3 linked regions of the Notamacropus eugenii genome follow. The protein of the gene in region 3 interacts with the protein of the main gene of each other region in a pairwise test. Links are inferred from orthologs where the notes say so. Each region holds a gene or a part of one and is shown on either strand. Other genes may lie near its edges.

Region 1 (10,466 bases), on a different chromosome or scaffold from region 3:
ATCTGCATATAATGTTGGGAAAAGGAGGGAGCTATAGTTTCAACAGTATGGATCCACAGCGTTCCTTGTACCTGTGTGTTAGGTGCCACCCTGGAGACCTGTGAGTGAATGTTCGTGAAGTAACCAAAAGGGAATGCCATATGCTGTTAAGATATTTTTCAGTTGTGTCTGACTTTTCATGACCTCATCTGAGGTTTTCTTAGCAAAGAGACTGGAGTGGTTTAACATTTCCTTCTCCAGCTCATTTTACAGATGAAGAATTCAGGCAAACAGAGGGAAGTGACATATCCAGGAGCACACAACTAGTAAGTGTCTGAGGCTGGATTTGAACTCATGAAGAAGAATCTTCCTGATTTCAAGCCTAGTGCTCTGTGCATTGTGGCATCACCTAGCTGCCAGTGCTACATGAGAATGACAGAAAGCTGGAAGGATAGCTAACCCTGAATGACAAAGTCAGGGTCCAGAAAAGATTTCAACAGGTTAGAAAGCTGGGAAGACTCTAGTAAGATGAAATTCATTATGGGTGAATTAAAGTCTTCCTTTTGGTTTTTGAGAATACGACTTTAAAAGTACAAGATGGAGTAGGCATGGTTAGACAGAAGTTCATCTGAAAAAGATCTGGGGGTCTTAGTGAACAGCAAGTGAAATAAGTTGGCAGTGTAATGTGGCAACCACAAAAGCTACATCAGCCTTGGACAACATATGCAGCAATATGGAAGTGAGAGTTCTTCTGCACCATGCTGGATAGATCATGTTGGAATATTGTGTCCTGTTATGGACTTCACATTTTAGGAAGAATGATGATAAGCTAGAGAAGGTGGGGAGGAAGGGATTCAGGATGGTGAAGCGCCTCAAGTTTATGCCGTGTAGGGTGAGTTGAACTGGAGACATTTACCCTGGAGAAGAGAGAACTCTGGGAAGCATGATCCAGTATTTGAAAGGATGTTTTATAGAGAGAAAGAACTTTCCCATTGGGCAGAATGAGGAGAAGTGTGTAAACGTGACAAAGGACCAGGTTAGAATGGGAAACACTTTGCATTAATTAAAGATGTCCAAAAGCCAGCTGGGCCTCTAGGAAAGCTGTGGATTCTCCTTATCAGAGGTGTTCCAGCAGAGACTCGATGATCGTTTACTCAGGGAATTGTCATGCGAATTCCTTTTTGGATCTGGCTTAGAGTATATGGCTGCTGAGTTTCCTTCCAAATCTGAAATTCTTCAACTCTCTAATCGCTAAGACAGTGATTCTCAGATGATGGTCTGTGGAAGAGACCTTTTCAGGGTTCACTGTCAAAACTATTTTTATAATAATATTAAGATATTTTAATTTCTCAATACTGATGGATATAAACCACATAAAAAGGGCAATTGGGTGGAGCCATAGCCCATAGAGCACTGGGCTTAGAATGAGGAAGACATCTTTCTAAGTTCAAATCTAGCCTCAGACACTTACTAGTTGTATGACCCTAGGCAAGTCACTTCACCCTGTTTGCCTCAGTTTCCCCATCTGTAACATGAACTGGAGAAGGAAATGACAAACACTCCTTGTATCCTTGTCAAAAAATAAAAACCAAACCCAAAATAGGATCACAAAGAAGCAAACACGGCTGAGATGACTGAACAACAACAAACCCCACATAAACAAAAGCTCTTTGGGTGGTCCTCAATAATATTTAAGAGAGTAAAGGGGTCCTGAAATGCTCTGAGATCCCTTTCTAGCTCTAGAGTTCCAAAAACTTATGAGAAAGTTTTTTGAATAAATGCTTCCTATTTCCTGGACTGTCAGTTCCACAAAGGGAAGGACCATGCCTTTGCAGTATCCTCCCTCAGCATCTTGCACAAAATTAATTCTATCTCTGTTGAGCAAATGAATGAACCTGGTTGGCCTAACCCTGCCCTGGTACATTATGACAGGGGCTGAGGCCATATCCTTGAAATGTTCTTAACTACGTCCACAGTATCATGGGACCCCAAAGACATTCAATTAATCATATGTTACATTCAATCAGTTCTGGGCTAGCTTGCTCAACTGATTCAAGCAGTGGGTTAATGAGGTCAAGGTCACAGGCCTGATCCCTGGGTGGGCCACTCAGTTGTCCTCTGTCTCACCACCATGTGCTTAGTTCCTCACCTTAGCCAGTTGTCATGACCACACATGCCTTTGGTCACAAGAGGAACTGGATGAAAGAACAGAGAGAATGTAGAGAGAATACAGTACCATTCCATTCCCCAAACTGGAAAAACCACTCAAAGCCTATGTATCCTACCATGTACACCAAGAATCACAGGATCCCCAGGATTCTGGAGCTGGGGACTGGAAAGGGTATGGACTCCTCATTCAGGTCCTGCCTCTGACATTTTGTACCTGCTGGAAATTGGATAAATCCCTCAACTTCTTCAACTTCATTTACTTCTCTGTAAAAAGGGCAGCTAGGTGGTACAGTGAATAGAATGCCAGGCCTGCAGTCAGGAAGACTCATCTCCCCAGGTTCAAATCTGGCCTCAGATACTTCCTAGCTGTGTGACCCTTGGTAAGTCACTTAACCCTGATCATATCTGTTTCCTCTTTTGTCAAATAAGCTGGAGAAGAAAATGGCAAACCTCTCCAGTGTCTCTCCCGAGAAAACCCCAAATGGGATCATGATTGCAAACGACTGAACAAACAAAAAGAGGGATTGGGATGAGATGACCGCTGATATCTCTAGGAGCTCCAAATTTATGATCCTAATTTTGCTTCATCACCAAAAAGACGAGGAACCTTAAGAATCATCACCATTGTCACAATAGCTAGCACTAAGTGCTTTAAGGTTTGCAAAGAGCTTTACAAATTAGATCTCATTTTATTCTCACAACAACTGCTATTATGATCCCCATTAAACAGCAGCTGAGACAGTTTAAGGTTAAGTGACTTGCTCAGGGTCACACAGCTAGTAAATTTCTGATGGGAACCTCACTCTTTCTGACTCCAATTCCTGTTTCCTATCCACTGTGTCACCTGGCTTAAATTTTAGAGTTGGGAGCACCCTTCAATATGATTTCAATTAAAACAAAGCACTTGCTTTCCTAGAAATGTCAGTGTTGCCCACTAGGCCAAGATTTAAAAAATTAGAAAGCAGAAATCCAAGTGAAGAAGATGTGGTGCATATGAGAATCTTTCTTTCCAGAGATTGCTTCCCAATTCCTTAACTTATTCTTTTTTTTCTGTCTCTGGAATTCAGGTGCTACCCCAGCAAAGAGGAGAGCATTAGCTCATGATTGATATTGTTTGTGCTGTTAGTAATCATTGTATGTATACAGTGCTGTAAGGGTATGACAAGATCTTATTTGACATATCCTAGGTAAGAACAAGAAAAAAATGAGTTCCAGTGACTTGTCTAAGGTCATACAGCTGCTAAGTGGTGGATTTGGGACTTAGCACTGGTCTTCTGATTCCAAAACCAACTTTCTATAATGTAATGCTCTTTCTAGAAGTTTGATTGCATTGTAGGTATTGAGAGAGGAAAGTATGAACCAATCCATAGAGTGCTGGAGCTGGAGTCGGGAAGACCTGAGTTCAAATCCGTATTCAGACACTTAAGGGCTGTGTGACACTGGGTAAGCCATTTAATCTCATCTACCTTAGTTTCCTAAACTATAAAATAAGGATAATAACAGTACCTATCTCCCAGGATTGCTGTGAGGATCAAATGGGATAATATTGGAAAGCACTTGGCACAGTGTACGCACACAGTAGGTGCTATTTAAATGCTTATTCCCTTTCCCCTAAACAAAGTGAAATGACATTAAGTAGTAGTTTTAAGGCTCAAGATACCTGCACGTGGTCCTTCCTTTTGATATTCAGTAACTTCAGCTAAATTTCTCCTCTTGCCCTTTCCCACCTTCTTCCGCCTCTCGATTTGAATCCTCCACAAAATGCACAGGGAAACCACACAGACTTCCGACACATGTCACCTTGGACAAGTCACTTAACCCAATATGCAGGGGCAGGAGACCTGAGGCCAAGTCTCTTCAGCACCAACAAGGTGACGCTGAGGAGTTACCCGATCCCCTTGTTAATCCTCGTTGCGTTGGACCTAGATCTCCCAAAGCAGGCAGAGCCAGAAGCCCCTGCTCGGAGTGACAGCTCATTACCACTGCCCGTCTGGGTGCTTGCTGGAGAGCTCCCGCTGCTGCCCGCTCGCCCTCCTCTCTCCCAGCCCTACTCCAGCGTCCTCACCCCAGTCCTCTGGAGTTCCTGAAGCTGACCTCGTTCCAGCGTGACTCCCCCACCCCGCCCCCATCTCCCGGCAAACAGCCGGGCCAGATTCTTCCATTCATTTCCTGAGCGTGGCATGAGGCTGGGAGGAGACCGGGGCGCAGAGGGGGCCCTTCTCTCGGCTCAGCCCTCTCCTGTCTCCCTCCATGGTAGTCCTCTCTTCCTCTCCTCCCCTCCGCTGCCCTCCCAGGGACCTCAGCGGGGCAGGTTACAGTCCCCTTACCCATTTCCTCCTGGCCTCTGCTGGAGGCTCCTACTCTCTCCAGGTACCAGCCCAGCTGCTCCCCCATGGCTCCACGCCCAGCTCTGGGCCAGGGAGGGGGGCAGAGCTTCGGGCTTAGGGAGGGGTCTCAGCCAGGCCTCTGCCCACAGAACTCTCCAGGGCTCCCAGGAGACTGCTTTCCAGCATACCGAATGCAAGACAGAACCGGCAGGAGCCGCAGGAGAGGGGAGCACAGCTGAAGCTCGTCCGACCGGTTAGACAGCTGCCGTCATCCTCCCGGGGGCATGGGGCTGGGGTTGGGGCGTGCCCTTCGCGCCGTGCCAAGCCGCTCCTCTCGAAAGAGGACTGCTCGGGTCACGGCCAGCCAGGGCAGTGCCCGTAGCCCCAGGCACGCCTTCCTGGAGGTCGAGCTCAGGACTGGGGCTGTGGACCCCTTCCCCTTCCCCACCTCCCTCACTTCCGTTTAGTACCTGACCAAAAGGGACCTAAAAGTCTCTGGCCTGGATCGCTATACATATATTCTGTTGGAACAGTAAAAAGATGACTGCATCTGGTTTCAGACACTTACTAGCTGTGTGACCTTGGGCAAGTCACTTAGATCGCTACTTGCCTCAGTTTCCTCTTTTGTAAAATGCGGAACTAGACTACACTGTCTCTAAAATCCCTTCTGGCTCTATGATCTTATGATTCCATAAAGGTTCTGGGCTTCCAATTTCCTTGTCTATAAAATGAAGGGAGTGGACAGGATGACCTCTGATCTCATTCTCAACTCCTAATCTATGACCTCCCTGCTGCTTAGCATGGAACGGCAGCCTAGCCCAGCAGAGAGATCACTCTCTCCAGGTTAAGGAACTGAGTTCAAAGCCTGCTCAGATACCTGTGACCTAAGTCATTCATGTAATGGGTCAGGCCATGCATGCAATCTCCCTGGGCCCTGTTTCTTCATATGTGAAATGAAGCGTTTGGGCTAGGGGAATGGCCTCTGAAATCCCTTCCAGCTCTAGAGTTTCTAGCTGTGAGACCCTGGGCAAGTCCCTTAACCATTGCCTGCCTCAGTTTCCTAATCTGTAAAATGGGGATAGTTATAACAACACGGTTATAGGTTATAGCAAACCAAGGTTGCTGTGAGCATCAAATGAGAGAATATTTGTAAAGCGATTAGGAAGATGCCTGGCACATAGTAGGTGCTGTATAAGTGTAAGTATTGTTATTTAATATAGCAGTTATTTTCAACCTTCTTCAAGGTCTTTCATCCCCTGGCCTACTGAACGTCCAGATTCTGGCAAATAACTTAGGGAGGCAGTTGGTGAAAGTGGAATGAGACCCAGAATAGGAGTCAGGAGAGTTGGCTTTTAATTCTGACCCTCTGCTTCTAACTAGCTTTGTGCCTGAAAGCACACAACTTCACTCCTCTCTTCCTTTAAACGTTCCTTTCCTAGATTGCAGATTGAGTTTTGGACATGCTGCGTTTGAGATGTCTCTGGGATATGCAGATGGGGATCACCGACAAGAAGTTGGAAAAGGAATATATGTGTAGGCAGGGATGAGACTCCGCTGGGTGGGCAGAGTGAGGGACTGGGCTAGGCCCAGGGAATTATATAACATTGTTCCGATTTAAACTGTTTTTTCGAAGCTGTGTGTTAAGCTGAAGCTCTCTAGAGCAAAGAGTCTTAATCCAGGATCTGTGGGTTTGTTTTATTTTTTAAAAAATCTTTTGATAACTATGTTTCAGCATAATTCATTTCCTTTATAATCCTCTGTATTTTATTTTATGCAGCTAAGAAATGTCATTTATGCTGAGAAGGCATTGACTTCTCCAGACTGCCAGAGCAGCCCATGGTACAAGTTAAGAACTCCATGACTAGACAATCTCTAAGATCCCTTCCAGCAATAAAACTCTGACTCTATACTTTTATACTGAGGAAACTGAGTCAGATACAAACTCTCTTGTTGAGGGCAGCTAGGTGGTGCAGCGGATTAAATGTGTGACTTGGAGCCAGGAAGACCTGAGTTCCAATCCTGCCTCAGACCACAGAAATATGGCCCTGGGTAAGTCACTTAAGTGCTGTCTGCCTTGGTGTCCTCATCTCTGAAATGGGCATAATGATAGTACTGATCTGCCAGAGTGGTAGTGAGGATCAAATGAGATATGTATTAAGTGCTTTCCAACCCTTAAAGTGCTATAGATGTGTTAGCTCTTATTATCTTCCTTTCTTTCCATTTCAGAATAATTTTTCTACTGTAACAATTTAACAAACATTTCTTAAGTACCTACTATGTGCAAAGGACTGCCTTTTGCCTTTCTTTGTATCTTCAGTCCTTAGCTCAGTGCCTTATACATAATGTTGCATTAAGTGCGTGTTGTTGGGTCATTTCAGTTACGTCTGACCCTCCATGACCCTATTTTGGGGTTTTCTTGACAAAGACACTGGACTGGTTTATCATTTCCCTCTCCATCTCATTTTACAGATGAGGAAATGGAGGCAAACAGGTTTGAGTGACTTGTCCAGGGTCACACAACTGATATGTGTCTAAAGGCAGATTTGAATTTAGGTCCTCCGGACTCCAGGGTTGTCCGCTGTACCACTCAGCTCCCCCTAGGGGCTTAATAAATGTTTACTAACTGACTGCAGGGCACTGTGTTAGTCCTTGGTAATATAAAGACATAAATGAAGCAAACCCTGCCTAGCAGGGGCTTACATTGTCCCAAGAGGATAGAACACGTATAATGCGTTCGTCCTTCATTGCTGAAGAAGACTATGCCATCAGAGAAATAATGACATGACTCGCACTTGACTTTTTGTTTTTTGAGTGAGGGAGGGCTGTGCAGGTCACCAGCCTCACTTCTCCTCCAGAGCCATCTGAATCCACAATGTTAGTTTAGTAGTCACTTAAATCTGAACTCTTTCTTCAAATTTCTCTTATTGACTGAAATTTTTATTGCACTATAGTCTATAAAGAGATATTTACAATTTCTATCTTTATGTATTTATTTGTGAGTTCTTTTCTCCTTTCTTTATATAATTTTTTTTAAATAAAGGTACCATAGAAAGTTGAAAAATAGATTGGCTCTATATGGTTCCCATACAGGAATCACCAAAGTATCTATCTAATTTTCTAGAAATCTGTTTAGGATATTAATTTCTTTGTTTTGTTAGATTTGTCTAGATTTGAAATGGGCTTTGCAATAATTATGGCTTTACTATCTAGATCTCTCTGTGATTCAGTCAGCTTTTCCTTTAAACAGAATAATGCTGTGCCATATATGGATATGGGTGTGCATGTATATATACATATTTTACATATAAATACACATATGTATGTATGTATACACACATACACATACAGAGGAGCCATCTACTGTCACTTATGGCCAATGTGACTTTGAAAAAGTCAAGTAACACCCTTGGACCTCACCTTCTATATCTGTTAAATGAGGAGATGGATGAGACAGATTCAGAGGTACCTTCTAGCCTTACATTGGTGCTTCTATGATCCTCCAGGCCTGTCTAGGTATCTTCTTAGACCTTGATTACACTTCAGACCTTAGACTCTCTTCTGGAAATATGCTGGGTTTCCTGACTCACATTTCACCCACATCCTTTCAGATTCCTTTTCTTTGCTTTTCCTCCATAACTTCTAACATCGCAGTGAACTACATTATCTTTTCTATACTGAGATATAATATAATATAACATAACAATATAACATAACATCAGGTAAGATCAGGTAACATAATGTAACAATGTAACAATGTAACATAGCAATGTAACATAATATAATATAATGCAATACAATTCAGTTCAATATAATTTAATATGATGTAATTATATGTAACACAATAATATACAACAGTAAGATTATTATTCAAGCTAAATCCACATTGCAAATACTCACTACTGAGTGAGTTATTAGTTAATCACATTATCCTGCAAGACCCAGTTCCCATGGCCTGAGGCATTTATTGTGCTTATCAGTGATTTGGAGCTTATCACTACTACCTTGCACTTTGAATCATCTTTTAATGCTTCAGTGCACCTAGAATTCCCCTTTCCTATCTCCTCCCCTAAATTAATTCTACCTGTTGAAATCCTCTAAGTCCTTCAAGACCCAGTTCCAATGCTGCCTTCTTTATGGAGTCTTCCTGATTTCATCTTTTCTGATTGGAAATAACTTTTCCTTTCTCAGGTTGTATTCGTACCTTCTATATTCACTTATTTATTGTATTCTATTTTCCATGATCACTCTGAGTTCTAATTACGTATGCCTGAGTCTTATCCCTCCTCTCCCTCAATTATGAACTCCCTGAGGGGAGGGGTTGCACTCAGCTAAGCCAGCTTCTCTACTGGTCTTCCCACGCAGTGATCCCCACAGCTGAAAGTGATCTTCTCAAATTTTCTCAAAACACTTTGCCCCTATTTCTCCTTTGTCCCTGTCCATTCTATCTGGAATTATATCTGTCTGTGTACATGTCATGTCATGTGAGCATCTCAAAGGCAGCTGTGTGTATGTATGTACACACACTCCCATACCCATGTAAACCCATTTTTGTACACACACATGTGCATACATATGCATATAGAGAGATACATATATCTAAACCCATATATAAATATACACATAATATATAGGAGTGTATACTTATACACATACATGCACACACATATACATATATACATATGTGTATGCATATACATATATATGTATGTGTATATATATGTATATATGTATACTTATAGGTAACCCCAAATAGAATTGGTCCATGAATTTGTCTTTAAAAATATATACATTGATGACTATTCACTGTAATTGGATTCTTATGTTATTGTTTGCATTTTATTTTATGTTTTTAATGTTATTATTCCATTTGAGAAGGAGTCCAGAGGCTTCGTCACACTCCAAAAGTCTCATGAAGCTGTAAGATTAAAAACCTTTGATGTAGGATCCTTTCTGAGTGGTAAATATAAATCCAGGATTTGTGAAACTGTTCTTCAAGGAAAGCCTGCCCCCTGGTGGAAATTGATTTCATTGCTTCTCTGAAATCCCTTCAAAGCCTGAGTTGAAATTTGCTAAAGTTAACCCAGCTAAGAGAGTCACTTCACTTTTTTGGTGAGAGCTGAATTTTATGCCAAAAATATCTAAATTAGCTTTTTGGTAACATGGAATTCCTTTTCTCACCAGTCTCTTGATAAGATACACTTAGTGTTTTTATAATGCATTCAGCACCATACGACACCTATTATGAATGCGAACTGACTCTTAGGCTGTAACTAGGACAGGGCAAATAAGACTTTGCCCTACACCAATATCCCGCTCTCCACCACCACCACCACCCCCTCCACTACCCCCACCCCTCACCCCACCCCCATCCCACCATGGTAACCACCATTGGGAGGAAATGAGGATAAGGACCTACTATGTGCCCAGTACATACAAGTAATAAGCATTTTTACATCTTACAACTGAGGAAACCGTGGTGAACAGAGGTTAAGTGACACTCCAAGGTCACACAGCTAGGAAGTGTCTGAGGCCATATTTGAACTCAGGTCTTCCTAACTCCAGACCCAGGGCTCTATTCACTAGGCCACCTAGTTTCTACAATTTGTTTATGATGTCATCTTTCATGTCTAAATCAAATATCCAGCTTGCCGTGGTATACAGTGAGAAATATTGTGGATATCTAATGTCTACCAGATTGCTTTCCAGTTTTCCCAGCAGTTTTTATTGGAAGAGTTTTATCTCCACACACTTTTATCAATATAAGAGAAAAATGACATCTCAAGAAATTAGAATGCTGCTAAATATACTGCAAAAACAATAAACACGTAAGTATAAATTTGAAAATTAAAGAAGATCTAAACAAAATTGAAAACAAAAGCCGCCCCATCAATACAACTGTGAAATTAACAAAAGTAACCAATAAATAACTGAAGTTGTAGCTACTTTGGTACATAAAAGGAGAAAACAAAATTAGAATACTTAAGAAATCGA
Region 2 (9,835 bases), on a different chromosome or scaffold from region 3:
TACAAGAATTCATGTGACTACCTTAATAAAAAAAGGCTATATTTTCAGAAAAAAAAGGTCTTGTCTATGCGCTAATGATTTAGGGCCTTTTCTGTTTTAGTTTTCTAAAGAAATTCACTTTTCTGTACCCTTGATGATTGTGGCAAAACTACAGTGTGCTAATTTGAAGAGACAAATGGCAAAAACTCTAGTCCCTTCATCCCAATGTTTTCATCCCAAAACAGCCAATTTTAAAATGCTTAATTTAAGGATGTGCTCAAAAAGTTGTGAAATTATTGTTTTTACCATAGAAGCACTGAATGTCTTTCAAAGCTCATACAAAGTCAATTTAAACTTGTAAGCCTTTGTTCAGTTATCATTTCTCAGTTTAGAGGAATAAAAACAAACAATACAAACGATTCCACCTAAATGCCACATATTTCCTACTGACCTGTCCCTTAGATGGCAGATCTCCGAATTCCTTTGGCTATACTTACTAAAGGTGGAAGGTAGAAAATAGCGCTATTTGCTTGTATTGTCCAAGGCTTAGCTCTGAAAAACTGAAAGATCTTCCCAGCTCAGGAACACCCAGGCAGCTCAAGTTACCCACCTCTGACTAAGCCTTCTTGAGTACTGTAGCTGGGGGAAGGTACCTACAGCACTGGTTTAGAGATTCTATGAGTTGGAAGAGGTAGCAATAAAATTCCCCCTTCAAATCTTTCTCCACAAGAAGCTGGTTGATAATCTTTAGCCAAGAAGATAGTCGGTCCCTACTAGAATTTTCCCAGAGACCACATTTACACATGTACAACAATCTGGGAATGATCATAAGAACAAAGAATTGAGTTTGTTTGCATGTAACTTGCAAGAAAAGTAACTAGGTATAGTGGTTTCAAGGCTGGGCTCTGATTTATAAATCTGCACTCTGACACATCATCATCATTTTTCAGTACACACACACGCATATATATATGCATATATATATACACATGCATATATATACACACACACACACATACATACACATATGTGCGCATGCGCGCACACCCCCCATATATTACTTTAAGGTTTGTAAAATTTTTTATAAATATGGCCACAACTACCCTTGGGGACTAGGTGCTATTATTATCCTCCTTTTTTTTTTTTTTTTACAAATGAAGAAATAGAGAAGGAAAGAGACTAAATGACACTTACTTAACTGTGTGTCTGAGGCTACATTTGAACTCAGATCTCTCTGACTCCAAGCCAAGATGTTCTATTAAGTGGCTCTTCAACCTCAGGCAAGTCACTTGACCTTTTAGGGTCCCAACCCTCCTTAGGTTGTAAAAGAGTTAAAGATTTAGAGAAAAGAGTTTTTAAGTTCTTGACTCCACCCCTTACTCCCCCCAAAATTACATATATTGTGGAAGATTGCCCAGTCTATTTATTGGAAAGTTTGACAATAAAATGTTAATTCATGAGGTAGGTCCATGGTAATTAAGCACTGGGCCTGGAGTCAGGAAGACCTAAATTCAAATCCAGCCTCATATACTTGTGATCTGTGTGACCCTGGGCAAATGACTTAACCTATATCTGCCTCAGTTTTCTCAATTATAAAATGAAGATATTAGCTCTTACTTCACAGAATTATTGTGAGGATCAAATGAGATAAAATATAAAGTACTGAGCATAGTATGCTATATAACATAGCATAGTAAGATTACTTATTCTCCTCTTAAGTCAGGAAATTTCTTGAATTTTATCTTAAAGGAATAATTTCTTCTCTTCTCTAAGATGGGGTGGGGGTGAAATACTGAGGGTACCAGATTTAAAAATCATGGAGGTAAGAGAAACAAACATAAGATTTTGGTACAACAGTGAGTTACTCTAACACAGGACCAGAAGTTTGTTGTGTTCAAAGACAACTCTTATTTTGACTAGAGGTAGTGTGATATAAGAGAAGCAGCCTGGATCTGGAGTCAGAAGGCTATGGTTCTAGTTCTGGCTTAGCCACTATCTAGTGACAACCTTGGGTGGGTTATATAAACTTTTCAGGTCTTCCATTCCCCCTCTGTAAAATGAAGGCAATGGATCAAACGATCTGAGGTCCCTTTCAGTTCTAACATTTTATGATGTATGTATAATCTTTAGTATTCTACCTGTAAAGAATGAGTTTGATGCTTTATCAGATATTGTCATTAGGTCTGAGTATTAGTATCAATTTTAGAGAAATATGGTGGATATCACCATCAACTAAAGAACACTTGCTTGACAGAAGGATGAAAAAACCTATCACTATCACTATGGTAAACATTAAGTTCATTCAGAGGGTTGTTTTATGGTTTTAGTGTGTCAAAACATTCCTTGAATCTCACTAAGAATACATCCTAGCTATGGTTTAAAAAATTTGTAAGTTCTTTCTCTTATTTCTGCTTTAAATCAGGATCACCATGTGGACAAATAAGAACATGGATAACAAAATTTATCATAAAGGAGTTTAGAAGCTTCCTATTTTGATAAAGAACCTTACTTTTGTCTGTAACACCTATGTATTTATGTACATACAAGCTGGGTTATGTGTATATATATATATACACTATGTATCTATGCAGGGCAAGAGTAGTGGCATTCTAATAATACATCGCTTTCTTCCAAATGCCTAGATGTCTGTTTAAATTGGTTCACATGCAGTTTTCCAGGTTATAGAGCAAAAATATTTCCTGATCAGAAAAATCCTATTTCTGCCCCCTCCAAAACCACACAGGAATTTTCCAGGATTTTCTATAAATGCACCCAATCTGACCAATGTAGTGACTTAAAGGGCAAAAGAGTTACCAACAAGGCATGATGAACTCAGCAGTAACCTCAATCACACAGAAACCAAGAGCAGTTTTACCTAACAGATGAGACAGAAGCTTTGGAGCTTTTGGCTCTCATTACGTGTTAGAAGCAATTTAACTGATTCTTCTGCCCAAAACCATAAAAGTCTTGGACAGGAGGGCACAAGGGAAAAAGCCCTTCCCAACGACGGCTTCCTACTGCAAAGAGGGTCTGTTTAGGCTGACTGCAGCGGGTAGAGGCTGGTCTAGGGAAGTAATCAGGCTTGGGCAACACAGTCTCAACAAACAAAACCCGATGTGAAGTCAGGATTGACGGCTGAGAAAAGACGCCGGGCCTTCAAGGATGGGGGCTCTATTTAGGGATCGCGGCCCAACCGGCAGCTGCCACCAAGACGTGTGTGACCTTGGGCATTCCTCGTGGGGCTGGGCTAAGTGCTGGGGACAGCAGGGTGACCTCGGGCTTCTCACAGGGAGCTTTCGGCCAGGGACACCCAAAGAAGGGATGCCTCTCCCTTTCCCTCCGTGGGTGTGGCCGCAGGGGAGAAGGGAAAGGCTGCAGAAGCTCCCTGAGGCCGAGTTTGGGGGCTCGGGGGGGAGGAGGCGGGGGTGAGCCGAGTTCCTGGAAATGAAATAGGGTGGAGGGAAGGAGGGGGAGCAGGCCCCTCCCGCTCCGCTCGGCCCCGGGCTCGCCCGCGGCTCGCTGCCTACCTCCTCGGCCTGCTTGCGCAGCGCCTTCTCCCGCTCGTACTGGGTGAGCAGCTGCTCGTTGTCCTCGCGCAGCAGCTCGAGCTCCACCTCGTGCTCCTGGTTCTCGCTGAGCACCGAGTCCAGGTTCTCCAGCACGTTCACCACCAGCGGCATCAGCTCCTTCACCACCTCCTCGTCGTAGCAGCTGATGAGCCGCTCGAACTCGCGGTAGATGGAGCCCGCCAGGCCCGACACCCGCTCCGACATCACCGAGCCCGAGCAGTAGTCGTCCTGGTACACCACCACCCCGCCGCCCTCGTCCATCTGGATCTCCATCATCGTGGCTACCGCTGCCGCCGCCAGCGCGGCCTGCTGCCTTCCCGGCCGGGCCTGGCTCCGCTGCTTCTCGGCTAGGTGCGCCCAGCTCCCCCGCTTCCCCGAGGCCGCCGCAGCCGCTCTGCTCTGCCAGTCATTCACCGGCCGGAAGTCCCGCCCCACCTCCCGGAAGCCCCTGCTCCCCCTCTGGAGAAAGGGGAAACGAACGTCTCCCAGGCAACCGCCTGCGGGTGCGCTGACACGTCCTCGCTAGGGGGAGCCGAAGTCGTGAAGGAGAGGAAGGGGAGCATGCGCACTGCTGCTTCAAGAAGCCGCTTGGCCTGAGGTCTTTTCGGAGCACTTCCGGCGAAGTGCGACTCTCTCCCGGTCACCTTAGAAACGTTCTCCCCAATCTCTGCCTCTGGATCAGACTCCCCAGAGAACAGAATCCATGACGGGCAGAGGGAGGGGGCGGGGCTGGCCGGAATGAGGAGCGGCCGCGGTACTTGGGGTTACGGTCCAGCCATGTTAGGTGCAGAGGGGTGCACACAGTCGGGGTGGCCTAGGAGGGAATGATGGAGAGCGCATCTGATCCCGGAGGCAGTCCGCAGCTCCTCGAGGTTACTGGGGAGGTCCGGGATGGTGTGACACGGGAGACACGGCACGGACCGCCCCGCATGGCGTGCCCACATCGGGGAAGGGGCTGGGCTCTGCGGGCAAAGCGGAGCGGACCTAGCCCAGAGAAGGGGCAGAGAGTCACGTTCAGAGAATCCACCCCAGATGTTCGCGCCCACCCAAGCTCTCATGGTCCCATCAGCCAGCCTCTAACTGGACTCCAGCGGTGACGTCATTCAGCCAAGGACTTGGTCAGACTCATGTCTTAGAAAAGCTGTTTGGAAGATTGATTTAAAAAATGGAGGGAAGAAATCAGACAAAGGAGGGTCCAATGCTAAGGCCACTGTAAGAGGTGACAAATGCTTGAACTGGGAGAGTGGTCATGTGAGTCAAGAGATAGGGCAGATTTAAGAGAGATTTTGGAGATTTAATCATAAAATTCCTAAGAGCTGGAAACTCTTAGATCAATGGGCTGAAGAAGAAAGAGTGCAGGATGACTCCAAAGTTTCAAACCAAGATGAAGGCATCCATCCAGGAAGGCTACAAGTGTAGATTTTTCTAGAACATAAATTCTGGCTTGGGTAAATTGAGTTTGAAATACCTATAGGGCATCTAGTTAAAATGTTGTGTTTGTCCTTCCTTCTTGATGAGGACCATGACATCAAGATGAGGACCATGACATCAAGATGAGGACCATGACATCAAGATGAGGGCATGACTTGCAGCTGACTTTGCTTTGAGTGAGGGAGGGCTGTGCAAGGTCACCAACCTCACTTTCTTCTCCTGAGCCATCTAGGTCCAGTGGCCTGATACTCATCAGGATGACCTGCCAGGGTAAGGAGGGATTAAAGAGGCTAAGGTCTGCTAAAATGGGGACCTATACTAGACTGGTAGAAGTGAGAATGAATTTGAGAAAGGTTGAATGAGAAATCATAGGACTTGGTAACAACTGGTTACCAAGGCAAAAGAAGATAAATTATGCAAATAAAGTGATTAAAATGTCCATAGACTTTGACCAAGAGACTCCTCTACTAGGCTTGTATACCCAGTGAGGTTATAGGATAAGAACATCCCCCTACACACCAAAATATTATCAGCAGCCCTTTTTGTGTTAGCAAAGAATGAGAAACAAAACAGATTTCCACTGACTGGAGATTGGCTAAACAAAATGTGATATATGAATGGAACAGAATATTATACTGTGCTTGTAAGAAATGATGAATGTAATGAATACAGAAAACCATGGAAAAGATTTACAAGATTTGATGCAAAGTGATGTAAGCAGTCAAGAAAACATATTCAATGACTACAACAGGGGTGGGGAACCTACAGCCTTAAGGCCACATGCGACCTTCAAAATCCTTAAGTGTAGTCTTTTGATCGAATCCAAATTTTATAGAAAAAACCCTTTTATTTTGTGGCCCTAAGGCCACAGGTTCGCCACCCCTGGACTACACAAAGTAAATTAAAAGAAATATAGATTTGATAGGCAGTTAGCAATGCAAGATTGGAGTTCAGGAAACTAGGGTTGGATGTGTAGATTTAGGAGTCATCTGAATTGAGGTCATAATTAAACCTATGGAAGCTGATGAGGTCACCAAGAGAAAATGAGAGACTGGCAGGAGGCACCTTTCAAATCTATAATTAGCGTGAGATTTTATAATCAAATGAGGCTAGGAGAACACAACGTACAAAATAAGTTTTCAAAATAATTACAAACTAACCACTTAAGGAAAAAATATTCCAAGTCTAATAAAAGAAATGCAAATAAAAAGGCTGAGGCTTCACCTCATACTCATCAAGTTTGCAAAGACAAATATCAGCTTTGTAAAGGCAGTGAGAAACCAGGCACAATAATGTACAGATGGTAGAACTGTAAATTACTCTTCTTGAAAACTCTTTGTTGTGGTTGTGGTTTGTCCTTCATTCCTGAAAAGGAACATGACATCAGGAAAATGATGCCATGACTTGCAAGTAAATTGGATTTAAGTAAGGGAAGGCTGTGCAAAGTCACCAGCCTCACTTTTTCCTCCAGTCATCTGGGTCCAGTGGCCTGATAAAGATCAGGATGACTGGAGATGGCCCCTAAAACTCTTTTGTAATTACTCAAGTTACTAAACTATTCATGTCCTTTGATTCATACACAGATCATAACACTGGGGATATAACCCAAGGAGGTCAGCAGCAAAAACAAAAGCCCATGAGAATATTCATAGCAGTAACTTTTTGTAGTAGCAAAAAACCTGGAAACCAGTAGAGGCCTATCAAATGGAGAATGGCCAAACAATCAGTGTGTCACAGGAATATAACAGCGTACTACTGAATCATAAGAAATGATTCATAGGAATTTAGAGATACATGTGAAGACTTGCATAGACTGATACTGAGTGGAGAAAGCAAAACCAGGAAAATATACACAATAACCATCCAGCAACCATGAAGATAACGTGAAAACAATTTGGTAGCAATGCAATGACTAATGTGGAGTCCAAATTACATGATTCTTCATAGAGAGGTGGATTATTGTCACCTGCTTGGGGACTATTGCTGCTCTCTGATTGGGCCTGTGGCCTATTCTGCCATGCTGCTACCACCAGTCCACTACCTGGGGCTTACTTGAAAAAAAGGAAATTTCCCTTTTATCCATCTTCTTTCAACAGTTATCTGTCTGGGCCTGGGTACTTTTTCCCACCCACCCCCATGCCCTCTTTCTAGCTACACATGCTGCATAATGTCTTGAAGTCTCCATCCTAAAGTTAACTCCTAAGGAGATGTTGCTAATTTATCTAAACCCATTCCTCCATGATCCACAAAACTCCCAGTCACCCAGGATTGAGGTGTCAACCTCAACCCCATTTTCTTACTCCTCACATGCAATCAAATCATCTTGATTATGTTGTCAGTATCTTATACACACCATTCTCTCTTCTGTCACTGCCACCATTCCCAGTACAGGCACTCATCACCTCATCTATGGAAGTGATAGCAATAGCCTCCACCTTGGTCTTCCTGCCTCAAATTTCTCCACTCCAGTTTAATCTCCATTTGGCTCTCAACTGATCTTCCTAAAGCCTAGGTCTGCCCGTGTCACCCCCTATTCAATAAACTCCAGTGATTACAATCAACTCTAGGATCAAACATAAAATTCTGGCAAAGATTCCTCTATAATATGGCCTCTTCCTACAATTCCAATATTATTATGCCTCATTCCCCCTGCCCCCTATAATACTTTGTGATCCAGTGATACTGGGCTCCATAGCATTCCTTAAACAAGACCTCCTGACGCCAGACATTTCTTGTTTCCATGCCTGGAACATTCTCCCTCCTCTTTATCATTTGCCCTTCTTGACTTTTTCCAAGTGCCAGTTAAAATCTCATCTTCTACAGGAAGATTTTCCTATTCTCCTTTAAAATTATTAGCACCTCCTGTTTATCTCCAATTTACTTCATATATATGTAAGTGTACATGTGTAAGTACATGTATATACACACACATCTTATTTGTACAGTTGTTTGTATGTTGTCTCTTTCCCTTAGATTATGAGTTCTTTTTGAGCTGGGACTGTTTTTTTTTCTTTTTGCCTTAGCACGGTGCAGGGCCACAGTAAGCACTTAAACACTGCCTGTACCACATCAGCCATCTTACTCAAACTCTAGTATCGGTTGCCTTTGGCAAAAACGATATTTTTCTTTGGTTTTTAAAGCCCTTCACAATCACCTCCAGTCTATCCGCATTACTTCCCTTCCTGCATTTTAGAGTCCAACCAAACTGGCATTCTATTTCTCACATATGGTACTCCAACTTCTCTGTCTTGCATTACCTGTCCCCCATACCTGAAGTGCATTCCTTTCTCACCTGACTCAGAACCCCTCTTATTCAAGTAACTGAAACACCACCTAGCAGCAACCTTTCCTGACCCTCCCACTGGTGCCCTCTTGCCCTAACAAGACTCTATTTATTCTTTTTATGTTTTATATGTACATATTTTTTCCCCAATTAATGTTAATGCCATGGGATTTGTTTCATTCTTTTTTCAGCACTGAGCAAAGTGCCTGGCACATAGTAAGCCATTGTTCAGACACTGGGAGTAAATGAAATTGTCAAGGGAGATTATTTAATTCTAACATGCCGCTTTACACTTTTTAAGAAAACTTTCATATATGTTACTACCTTAGCTCACCCTGCCCCCCTCCTAAAAAGGAATGGAAATTGGGCTTTTACTTATACTCAGTGACTAGCACCATGTCTGACTCACAGAATGCATTTAACATATTTCATTCATGTAGAGAATGAAAGAAAAATTGGACCAAGGATGGAACTTTTGGCAACACATTTTGAAAAACATACTTGCTGATGAATAAATATGGACAAATATTTCCTAAACTTTTCTATGCTACATGGAGGACCAAAGTAAGAGATAAAAGAATGGAACAGAGATTAGTTTTAGTATTGCCACCTTTAGTGTGTTGGAAATGGGAAAGGGGGGGAAGGTGTAAGGTAATGGCATCAAACTCAGAAAGGGGGTGGGGGGGCCCACTAATCAGAACCTGGCTTACTTTCAAAATGTCATATTTTTATTTATTTTGTGAATTCTTTCCCAATTACATTTTATTCTGGTTGGGCTTCACTGGGAGCATCATGGATCTTATGTTTGTGACACCTCTGGAATGAGAAAAAGTAAACTGTACTAAGATGCCACTTTACACTATTTTAAATAAATACCGTACCTTAGCTCAACTCCTGCTCCACACCCTCCCCCCCCCCCCCCCCACTTCCCTCCAACTTTTCTAAGTGGGAATTCAGCTCCTTTTGAGTAGGGATTGTTTCTTTCTTTGCACCTGTATCCCCAGTCCCTAGCAGCACACTTGTTAAAAAGTAGGCAAAATACTTGTTGATTGATAATAGCACCTAAGGAGGATGCAAAGGCATTGAGTATGACCATTTCAAACTTCAGTTGTCAATGTTGTTACCCAAACGTGAGTATGTTTATCATGTAAGTTTTAAACACAACATTAGCAAGATCATAGCACATACATACAATTCACATGAGCTGATCAACAGAAGAAATAGTAACATCTCCATGAGATTTTGAGGAGGAAAATTAGAGGGCAATTCTCAACAGCCAGTTATACTGCAAGGAATTCAATTGTGAAATATAATCTAACAATTCAGGAAACAAAATTCAGAAAGCTCATTCCTGAGGGGAAACTTAAATGCTCCATTGGACACGTGACTCTTGTTAAAACATTCTAAGACACTTAAATGACAAGGAGGGTGGGGATCAACATTAAACAGCCACCTTTAATGCTGTATGCCTTTTCTCAACACACAAATTTACTTCAGCTCCAATAAATGCCTTTTCATTTTCTTGCAGAATTGAATTTGATATAGTAACATCCTGATGTTACACATAAAACAG
Region 3 (9,403 bases):
AATGGAGCCCTTGTTCAAATGCAGGCAGAAGTCAGAGGCAGAAATGGAGTAATCTTGGCACCTTCACCCTGGGTGGGCCTTATCTGCCACCCTGGGAAGTCCCAACTACTAAAATTGCCTTCACGCCACACAAGGAGCCAGGGCCTTACACCTGGCCTCTGATCTTGTGTTTGACTCCAGCTATTTGACTTTGGGCAAATCACTTAACCTTTCTATGCCTCATTTTTCCTGATCTGCAGAGTGGTGATAATATTAGTGGCACCTTCCTCACATGGTAAGGAGCAAATGGAGTAACGGGGAGAAAGTTCAACTCAAACGTCATCTCCAATAGGAAGCCTTTCCTGATTACTCCAGGTGCTGGCACCTTCTCTCTCTCTAAATTATCTTGTACATGCTTTAAACCGTCTTCTCTGTGTATGTAGTTTCTCCAAGAGAATGTCAACTCCTTGAGGGCAGAGACGGCTTCTTTTTTGTCCATCTCTCCAGCAAATGGTACATAGTAGGTGCTTTAGGAATACTTGATTAGCTGGTTCAAGTACTAGACAAATCTTCAACCCTCTTACCAGTAGTTATTAGTATTGTGACATATAGGATATGGGTACTGTACAGCGGAGGTATGAAACACAACAGCCAGATTAAAATGCAACCAGGAAATATTTAACAAAATAAATGAAAGTGCAATAGAATATAGATAATATTAATATGGAGTTTTCTAAGTCACTACACGGACAGTAGGAATCCTTCTGTTTAGTGACCCCTGTTTCTAGCTGAGTGTGACACCGTTGCTGTGCAGTGTGTCCTATACATAGTCTTTATTGATTTAGAGTTGGGAATAAACATTTATATAGCATCAGCTATGTGTGAAGCACTATCCTACGTGCTTTACATGTATTATCTTATTTGGTTCTTCCAACAATCTTGGGAGATACAGGTTATTATGGGTCCCCATTTAACAGTTGAGGAAACAGGCAGAAATGATGTGACTTGTCCAGGGTCACACAGGTAGTATCTGAGGTCACATTTGAACTCAGGTCTTCCTGATTCCAGGGTAAACACTTTATCCTCTGAGCCACTTAGCTGCCTCTGAGCTAGAAGAACACTTAGAGGCCATCAGAACCAGCACTTTTACAGGTAAGGAAACTGAGGCACAGAGAGGTTTTGTTTTGTTTTTTTCTTTTTGGGGTGTGTATGTGATCTCTGTGTGTGTGTGTGTGTGAGTGTATCCAGGATTATGAAACTAATATGTATCTGAGGATTCAGACTCAGGTTTTTCTGACTCCAAAGCCAGTTCTCTGTCTACTACATCATCTTTGGGATCTTTAAAGGCTCCATCCAGAGGGGGAGGAGGAAGCCACATTCTAAACCATTTGAAACAGGGAGTTATGGGGAACCATGGAAGGCGGTTTTGTGTTTAAAAGTTCCAGGGAGGTGGAGGCTACAGGCTGCAAATGAGAAAAAATGAAAAATTCCTTGGGTGGAGGCCAACCCTCCTCATGCTGACTCAGCTTGTTGAATCAAGGGAGGCCTTCCTTGCGTCTGGGGGTTGCAGGGTGTGGCCCAGCCCTAGGGAGGCCATGGGGATAACTCCTGTGTAGAGGGATGAGAAGAAATGCAGAATCACTGCCCTCAAAAAAACTGTCCCTTCTATATCCTAGACAGAGAGGTCCCTTGGCCCTAGCTGGCATCACCCAGCTCAGATAAACAACTGTTAGGTGTTAGCTTTCAGGTACCTGCCTCAGCTCTCATGGAGGCAAGGAGCTGGAATGGGCCTAACCAAGTATGATCAAGAGTGAATTAGAGTTGGAATGAAAGAATGTAGAACATGTAATAGTAACTAATCTCCAGTTAGTACTTTCAGGTTTGAAAAATTCTGTAAATATGTTACCTTCATGTGATCCTCAGGACAACTCTGCAAGGTAGGTGCTATTAGGATCCCCATGGTACAGATGGGAAAAACTGAGGAAGGGAGATTAAGTAACTTCCCCAGGGTTTTACAATTAGTAGTTGAAAGGAATCCAACAACATAGAACACTAGAGCTAGAAGGGCCCTTAGAAGACAGGATATCAGAGCTGGGAGGGCCCTTAGAACACATGATGTCAGAGCTGAGAGGGCCCTTAGGACACATGATGTCAGAGCTGAGAGGGCCCTTAGGACACATGATGTCAGAGCTGAGAGGGCCCTTAGGACACATGATGTCAGAGCTGGGAGGGCCCTTAGAACACATGATGTCAGAGCTGAGAGGGCCCTTAGGACACAGAATGTCAGAGCTGGGAGGGGTCTTGGGGAATTATCTAATCCAACTCATTTTATAGATGAAGAAAGTGATGTTGAGAGGAATCTATCCTTGCCCAAACTTGCACAATTTTTAGAGGTATTAGAGACAATAGAATCCTAGTCTCCTGTCTCTTAGTATATTTCTTTAACCATCAGAACACATTCTCTACAACAGAGCAATCCAGAAACTCTAATATTGCTGGACTCTACTAATTTTGTATTTACAAAAGCTATCAGAGACCTCCGAAGTCCTTTGGAACATTAAATTTACAGCCTAAATCTATTCACTAATCCAGTTTAGCTTAGAGACTCCTTACTAAGAATAACTTTTTTTCCTTTTTAAAGAATGTTTTCCCCTCAATTACATGAAAACCAATTTCTAACATTTGTTTTTTGTAATTTTTGAGTTCCAAATTCTCTCCCTCCCTTTCCTCCCCCACTCCTTGAGAAGTTAAATACTTTGCTATAGATTATACAAGAGCAGTCATGCAAAACATATTTCCAAGAATAAATTTTTCAAAAAGGGTTCTGGGACCAGCTCTGACTCTAGCTGTGTGACCTACAGCAAGTGTTTTCCCCTCTCTGGGTCTCAGTTTTCCCAGCTATAAAATGACAGGGTCATCTGGATGCTATGTAAAGGCCCCTCCCAGCTCTGACACTCTTGATTCTAAGGTCCCTCTAGCTAAGGTGTATGTTGTAGGGTATATGAGGAATCCCTTAAAAAACCTCCCAGAAGTAACAAGTAGACTTCCCCAGTTTGGGAAGAAGAGCCTGAGTGGAATGGAGGCCAGGAAGAAGGTAGAGCTGATGCAGTTTTAAGGGGTTCAGGGACCCCTCAAGGATGGACGTACTGGACAGGGTTCTCAGGAATGAATTTACAGACTCAAGCATTCTTTAAGTCAAAGTGGCAAAGGTTTATTTTAATTCCAATGTGGCAGACAGAGCTCCTTAAGGAACTTGAAACCTAACAGGAATGATACTAAATCTTATATAGGAAAAGTAGTGGATTATCTGGCAAATGTGCTAATTAGGTGATAATGTATAACCATGGTCACAGGTGTCATTCACTACTGGAAACTAGGGGGAGGGGTTTCTCAGGGGTGTATTTTTGGTCTTTGACTTTGAGTTGATATCTATAGCTTGACTTCTGGATTGAATATAACTTTGGGAATCAATACATGATAATTCTGTGGTCACAAGATAGTCCTATTTTTACAAGTGAATTTCTTCGGAGGTCAGCTTATTTTTGTGATGGGGAAAGAGAGTTTGTCTTACTGGGGCCCACTCGTGTAATTGCTAGGTATAGTGTCCTTGGGCTGGGCAGAAAACTGTCAGGGATAGTGTTTGGAAGCTAGGGAGAAATGCGATCTTGGAATTGGGGTCCAAGTACAAGCACCTACGCACCCCAGCAGAGCGTGGTGGTTGAGGAAGAACAGGACCTTTTCAGGCTAGGAGTCAGCTGGGGAGAGAGCAGAGGAGTCATTCAGACTCAGGCAGAGCGAAGGAAACAGCTGGGGAAAGGAGGAGCGTGTGGTGGAACCAATGGAAGGAGAAGCCCCAGGGCAGGGCATGAGGTGAAGGGTTAAGACTGAGTCTGAGCCAGTGGATGATTCACCTGGGTCACCTGGAAACCTAGCTACCTCCCTCACTTGCTAGGGGAGAAGCTGGGAAACTCATCCCTTATCTGGAGGGAGGGGCAGAGTTGGGCTTCATGAAAAGGGTAAGGGAGAAGACTCAGCTGTTTAGTATTATTTTGGGGGAAGTGGGCTCTCTGGGCTATAGTGCAGGTGCTCATGGCCGAGGCTGGCTGGGCCTGCTCCTTTCTCACTCACAGCTCCCCCAGCTTCTCCAGTCAGTTCTCTGCCAGAGTTCTCCTTCATGAGCCAGGTTCCATGTCTGACTCCTTCAGGAAGCCTGTTTAGAGATAAGAATGCCAGCTGTCACCTCCCACACCTGCTGTGGGGGTCAGTCTTAGGTTAAAAAAGAGCCCAGGCTTCTGCATTTCATGGGGTCTCAACCTCCAACAGACCTTTCTATTGGGTTCTATTCCTGGGTCCCTGCCCCAGATTGATCCCTCACCAGAGGGCTGGATTTTGAATCAAGAAGACCAGAACTCAAATTCAGTCTCTGGCCTCCGCCTCCGTTTCCTAATCTGTAAGGGGGGGGCTGGATTTGATGAAGGACCTCTTTGCCAGTCTGGTGGAAGCTATGGGCATCTCAGTAGAATAGGCAATGCTAGATTTCATTTAGAGATTAGCGAAAATAAAGATGCATGTTCTGGGACATCCAAGTTCCTGGACCCCCTGGAAGTGACCCAGGGTGCAGAGTCCCGGCCTTGGATGATGAAGCAGGTCCCTTTCAGATCTCTCAGCCTGGGGGCCCAGTCCTTGGCTCTAGGGTCCTGCAAGCCCAGAGAGAAAGCAGGTGGGCCTGGAGGGCGACCCTGTCCCACCTCCATTCGTGTGTGGCTCAGCTCCTGCGTGGCTGGAGTTCGGGGGACCCCGGCGTGGGCCGGCGGGAACCTCGAGGCACCAGAAAGGGGACTAGGCTGGGTGGCTAGCTCTCCTGCTCCGCCCCGCCCCGCTCGGGTGCTCGGAAAGCCAAGAGAACCCAGACGGTTCTAGGCGGCGCCTCCCAGGGTCTGGGGCAGAGTCCAGAGCCCAGAGTCCAGCCTGCCCCTTGCCACTCTTTGTCTCTGCGAGGGGGGCCGGGTCGGTGACGTTAGGTTATTTGCATCAGCTCCGCCTTCTCGTCTTCAGCCCCGCCCCTCCCCGGGGAGCCCTTGTAGGCTCCGGGGAGGGAAGGGCGGGACCTCATTTGCATCCTCCCGCCCCTCTCTTGGAGCGCGTGTGGGCGGGGCCCGAGGGGGTGTAGGGGGCGGGGCGGGCTCGGCGGGGCGGGGCCTGGAGGGGGCGGCGCGCCTCGCGGGCCCCAGCGGAAAAGTTTTTCCAAGCGGAGAGTTTTGGCGGCGGCGGCGGCGGCGGCCGGAGCCGGGCCATGGACGCGCTCAAGTCGGCGGGCCGGGCGCTCATCCGCAGCCCCAGCATTGCCAAACAGACGTGGGGAGGCAGCGGGCGGCACCGGAGTGAGTGTGCGCCCCTCGGCGCCCCCTTCCTCCCCTCCCCCATCCCGCCCCGCCCCGCTCCCGCGGGAGGCCTCCAGCCCGGAGTTCGGCAGAGTTTGGCCGGGCCGGGGAGGTCAGGGCCCGCCACGGCGCGGGGTTCAGCACCTGTTCGGGGGTGCACGTGTGCGCGTGTGAGTGTGCGCGCGTGGAGCCCTTCACTTTCGGGAGAGTACTTGACCCCCCCCACGCCCCCACCGGGCCCAGCCTTTCCCGATCCCGCAGCTTGGGGGGTCCTGGGGTACCCCCTTCCCACCCTCCGCCGACCCAGACTCGGGGGGCCCGTGGGGGGCAGCCCCTGGAGACCGGACCAGCGCCACCGAGCACTTTGTGGCAGTGTGATTGGGTGCCCCCCCCGGGCCTCAGTTTCTTTGCCTGCATGTTGGGGGCAGCGATACGTGGCCTCCCTGCCCGGCGCTCCGAGAGACCGGGGCTGGGAGCGGACTTGTGGTTTTATCCCCTTCCCCCGCCCAGTTTCTGCGGGGCGTGGGGAGGCCTTTGGGCTATTTTTAAAGCCTCTCGGTCTCTGCTTCCCACCCCCAGCCCCCGTCCCCGGGCTTCTGTCCCCACGAGCCCCGCTGGCGTCACACCTTTGTTGCAGCTGGCAGCAGCCGGCGCTGGTGTGCCCCCTGGGGCACCGGCCTTCTGAGGTGCCAAGGCTCAGCACCGCCCTGCTCCCAGCCTCCACCTGGCTCATTGGGCCACATCTGGGGGCCAAGGTGGGAGACGCTGCCTTCTCCGGGCATACCCAGTGTGTCGGGCTTGGTCAAGCCCTGGGGTCCAGGGAAGCCCCCACAACCACTGACCGATGAGGTTTTGCCTTTCCTGGAGAAGTTGGGAGGGGGGCAGCCCCAGGGACAGATGAGGAGAGGCCTGGCCAGCAGGCTAGGGTGGCCTTGGTAATCCTAGCCTCTCCCACACAACCCTGGGAGCCTAGAGAGAGATTAGGAGGCCAGGATCTTAAATCTGCTTGGGGCGGCAGGCTGATTGATCGGGTTGGGACTCTTGGACTATCCACCCTTTGACCTTACACCCCAAGAACTGCAGCGGCTGTTTGGCTTCCAGGCCAGGGCCCTTTAGGAGTGAGATTTACAAACAAACTTCTGAGAACTGGCAGAAAGCCGCTATTTGTATGTAGGCAGGGGTTGGTCTGCCAATGGGCAGTGCATGGTCCCCTGCTGGCTTTGGGGAGGGAACTAGATAGGAGAGTTGTGGGGGCTGGGACACAGAGAGAGGGTATCACTTTCTCTTGGTTTGTGTGTGTGTATGTGTATCTACACACGTGTAAGTATGTGGGGAAGTCAGTTTTCTAAATGGGAGAGGGGGACCAGATGTTGATACCTTAGTGAAGGGGGTCACAGGTAGCAAACTGTCAGAGAGGTCTGGATTTGGAGTTAGAGAAACCTGGGTTCAAGTCTCATGTGGCTTTGGATAAGTCAGTTTCCTTGTGTGAGAAATGAAAGAATTAGACTAGATGGTTTAAGAATCATTCTAGCTCAAAACCCTGTGATCCAATAAAGTATAGTGGAGGGTGTGTGTATGTGTATGTGTGTGGTCAGTTTTGGAGCTGGGGGCAATGAGCTCCTTCTCCCTGAGGGTGGGGGGGACAGACCTGTCTCTCCAAGGTCCTCTGAGTGTGTGTGGAGAGAAGCAGGAAGGCATGAAGGGGCCTCTGAGTATGACCCTCCTCCCGTGGGTCCATGACGGAGTCTACTTCCAGGGATTAAGCTTCTAAGGATTCTTTGTCCCAGGTTTTTGCCATTCTTGTCCGCTTCTCTCTGTAAATTCCCCTAACACATACCTCTCCTTCTTTTGGTATTTAGCAGATTCCAGGTACACAGTGCCCACTGGGTAAACACTGAATTAGTGATGTTCATTTGCTCTATCTCAATTATTTGTGTTCCTGGCTCTCTCTCTCTCTCTGTCTCTCTCTCTGTCTGTCTGTCTCTCTCTGTCTGTCTGTCTCTCTCTGTCTCTGTCTCTCTCTGTCTCTGTCTCTCTGTCTTTCTCTCTGTCTCTCTCTCTGTCTCTATCTCTCTCTGTCTGTCTCTCTGTCTCTCTCTTTCTCTCTCTTTCTGTCTCTCTCTCTCCCTCTCCCTCCCTCCCCCTCTCCCCTTCTCTCCCTCTCTCTCTTTTACTCTCTGTCTCTCCCTCTGTGTCTCTCTCTCTCTCTGTCTCTCTCTCTGTCTGTCTGTCTCTCTCTGTCTCTGTCTCTCTCTCTGTCTCTCTGTCTTTCTCTCTGTCTCTCTGTCTCTATCTCTCTTTCTCTGTCTGTCTCTGTCTCTCTGTCTCTCTCTCTCTCCCTCTCCCTCCCTCTCTCTCTTTTACTCTCTATCTCTCCCTCTGTGTCTCTCTCCCTCTCTCTGTCTCTCCCTCTCTCCCCATTCATCCCTCTTTCTATCTATACTTGTATCTTCCCCCTCTCTCCTTGTCTCTCTCTTGTCTCCTTCTGCCTCTCTTGCTCTCTCCCACTTCATTCTGGTGTCATAATATCACAGACTTAGAGAGTTGAAGAGACCTTTACAAAATCCTGGCCGGGGAAACTGAGGCCCAGGGAAGAAAAATGAGTTTCCTGAAGTCACCTTAGAAGGAGCCAGGCTCAGAACTTGGGTTTTTGGACTAGAGAAACAGCCTCCTCCCCTGGACCTACCCTGCTGTCCATCCATTTTTGGTAGTTCTTGAGCTCATGCTTTTCTTTAAATTGATGCGTTTTAAAACACTGTCACCCTTGTGACAAAGTACAGTTACCAAAGTGCTCCATTGACCTGTGGCTCTCAGACTTTCTACCAGACTAGGCACAAAAGTTGAGAATTCAGTAGACTGAAGTTGAGAATTGGAAGGGACACCAGTCTCCACTTAATCCAGTTTATACCTCCAAAGAAGCCCTTTCGATCACAGGCCTCTTCAGCAGGGAGCTCCATTGCCTCCTGAGGCAGCCTTTTCCACTCTGGGATGAGCTCTCCGTGTTAGGAAGAGGAGAGAGGCCCGTTTCCTCATCACACCTCTGAAGTCAGGCTTCCCATGTTCTTTCTTGATCAGACCTGTCTGCAGCATCTTTTCTGCCGCTACTTGTCCCTGGGTCTCCTTTGCTTGCACTGAGCCTTGAAGGAAACTAAATATTCTAAGCCTGGGAGAATGCATTCCAGGCAAAGCATGGAAATTGGAGAGAGATGTCATGTGGGGGGAGGAACAATTCAGCTTTAGAGAATGTGAAAGGGAGTAAGTAACATGAACTGTCTGCAGAGGTAGAAGAGGGAGCCAGATTGTGTAGGGTTTTAAATGCCATTCTAGGTTATCCTAGGGACAGTAGGGAGCCATTGATGGTTTTTGAAGGTAGTTGTGGTGATGTGACATGGCCAGAACTTGGATTCTGCGTGTACCTAGGACCGTAGAGGGGAAGTTCCTTAAGGAGAAAGACTGTTTTGGTTGAGACTTTGTTTTCCTGGCACAGAGCCTACAATATGGTAGATGCCCAATAAATACTTACTGAATTGTTATCCTGATTGTACCCATTGTCTGTTTAATCACTTGCTTCCTGGCCTGGGCCTTGGATCTCTGGTTAATTGCTTTGGCTCTTCTCATGGGCACTGGGGAAGAGACAACAGTGTCTATACCTGAGGAGGAGAGGAAATGATTGGGTTCAAAGGTTAGTCAATCAATACATGTTGTCACCTTCTATGTGCTAGGCATTATGCTAAACCTTGGGGATTAAAAAAAAAAAGAAGCAAAAGGCAGGCTTTATCTTCTGGAAACTCACAATCTAATGAAAAAAAAGAAAAGGAACCAACCGGTCATCTGATACTACAGAACTGAGACTGCCGCCTTGGTTCGTTCATTCAACAGACTTTTTGTAGAATTTAATGTAAAGTATTTTCCTCCTGGACCTGTAAGGTGGGGAGTATGAGTCTGACTGGGCCCATTCTATAGATGAAGACCCTGAGGTGCAGAAGGTGCTTGGACCTGGAGCCAGTAAGTGTTCTAGACTGGACTCTAGTCTAGGTCAGCTA

Evidence for each region.
Region 1: the proteins of LDLRAP1 (region 3) and PSD4 interact in binary tests that used the Homo sapiens proteins (3 or more experiments, as listed by UniProt). The two-hybrid records come from large-scale screens. The link is inferred for Notamacropus eugenii from reciprocal best matches to the Homo sapiens genes LDLRAP1 and PSD4.
Region 2: the proteins of LDLRAP1 (region 3) and MAPK8IP3 interact in binary tests that used the Homo sapiens proteins (3 or more experiments, as listed by UniProt). The two-hybrid records come from large-scale screens. The link is inferred for Notamacropus eugenii from reciprocal best matches to the Homo sapiens genes LDLRAP1 and MAPK8IP3.

What each region holds. Positions count from the first base shown.
Region 1 is NC_092872.1:717,851,506-717,861,971, reverse strand, and holds the start of PSD4 (PH and SEC7 domain-containing protein 4), read right to left. Parts: upstream 4,723-10,466; 5' UTR 4,476-4,722; intron 4,174-4,475; exon of another isoform or gene 3,809-4,173; intron 1-3,808. UniProt on the Homo sapiens protein: Guanine nucleotide exchange factor for ARF6 and ARL14/ARF7. Through ARL14 activation, controls the movement of MHC class II-containing vesicles along the actin cytoskeleton in dendritic cells. Involved in membrane recycling.
Region 2 is NC_092872.1:48,925,839-48,935,673, forward strand, and holds the start of MAPK8IP3 (C-Jun-amino-terminal kinase-interacting protein 3), read right to left. Parts: upstream 3,976-9,835; 5' UTR 3,825-3,975; coding exon 3,507-3,824; intron 1-3,506.
Region 3 is NC_092876.1:66,148,621-66,158,023, forward strand, and holds the start of LDLRAP1 (low density lipoprotein receptor adapter protein 1), read left to right. Parts: upstream 1-5,174; 5' UTR 5,175-5,272; coding exon 5,273-5,360; intron 5,361-9,403. UniProt on the Homo sapiens protein: Adapter protein (clathrin-associated sorting protein (CLASP)) required for efficient endocytosis of the LDL receptor (LDLR) in polarized cells such as hepatocytes and lymphocytes, but not in non-polarized cells (fibroblasts).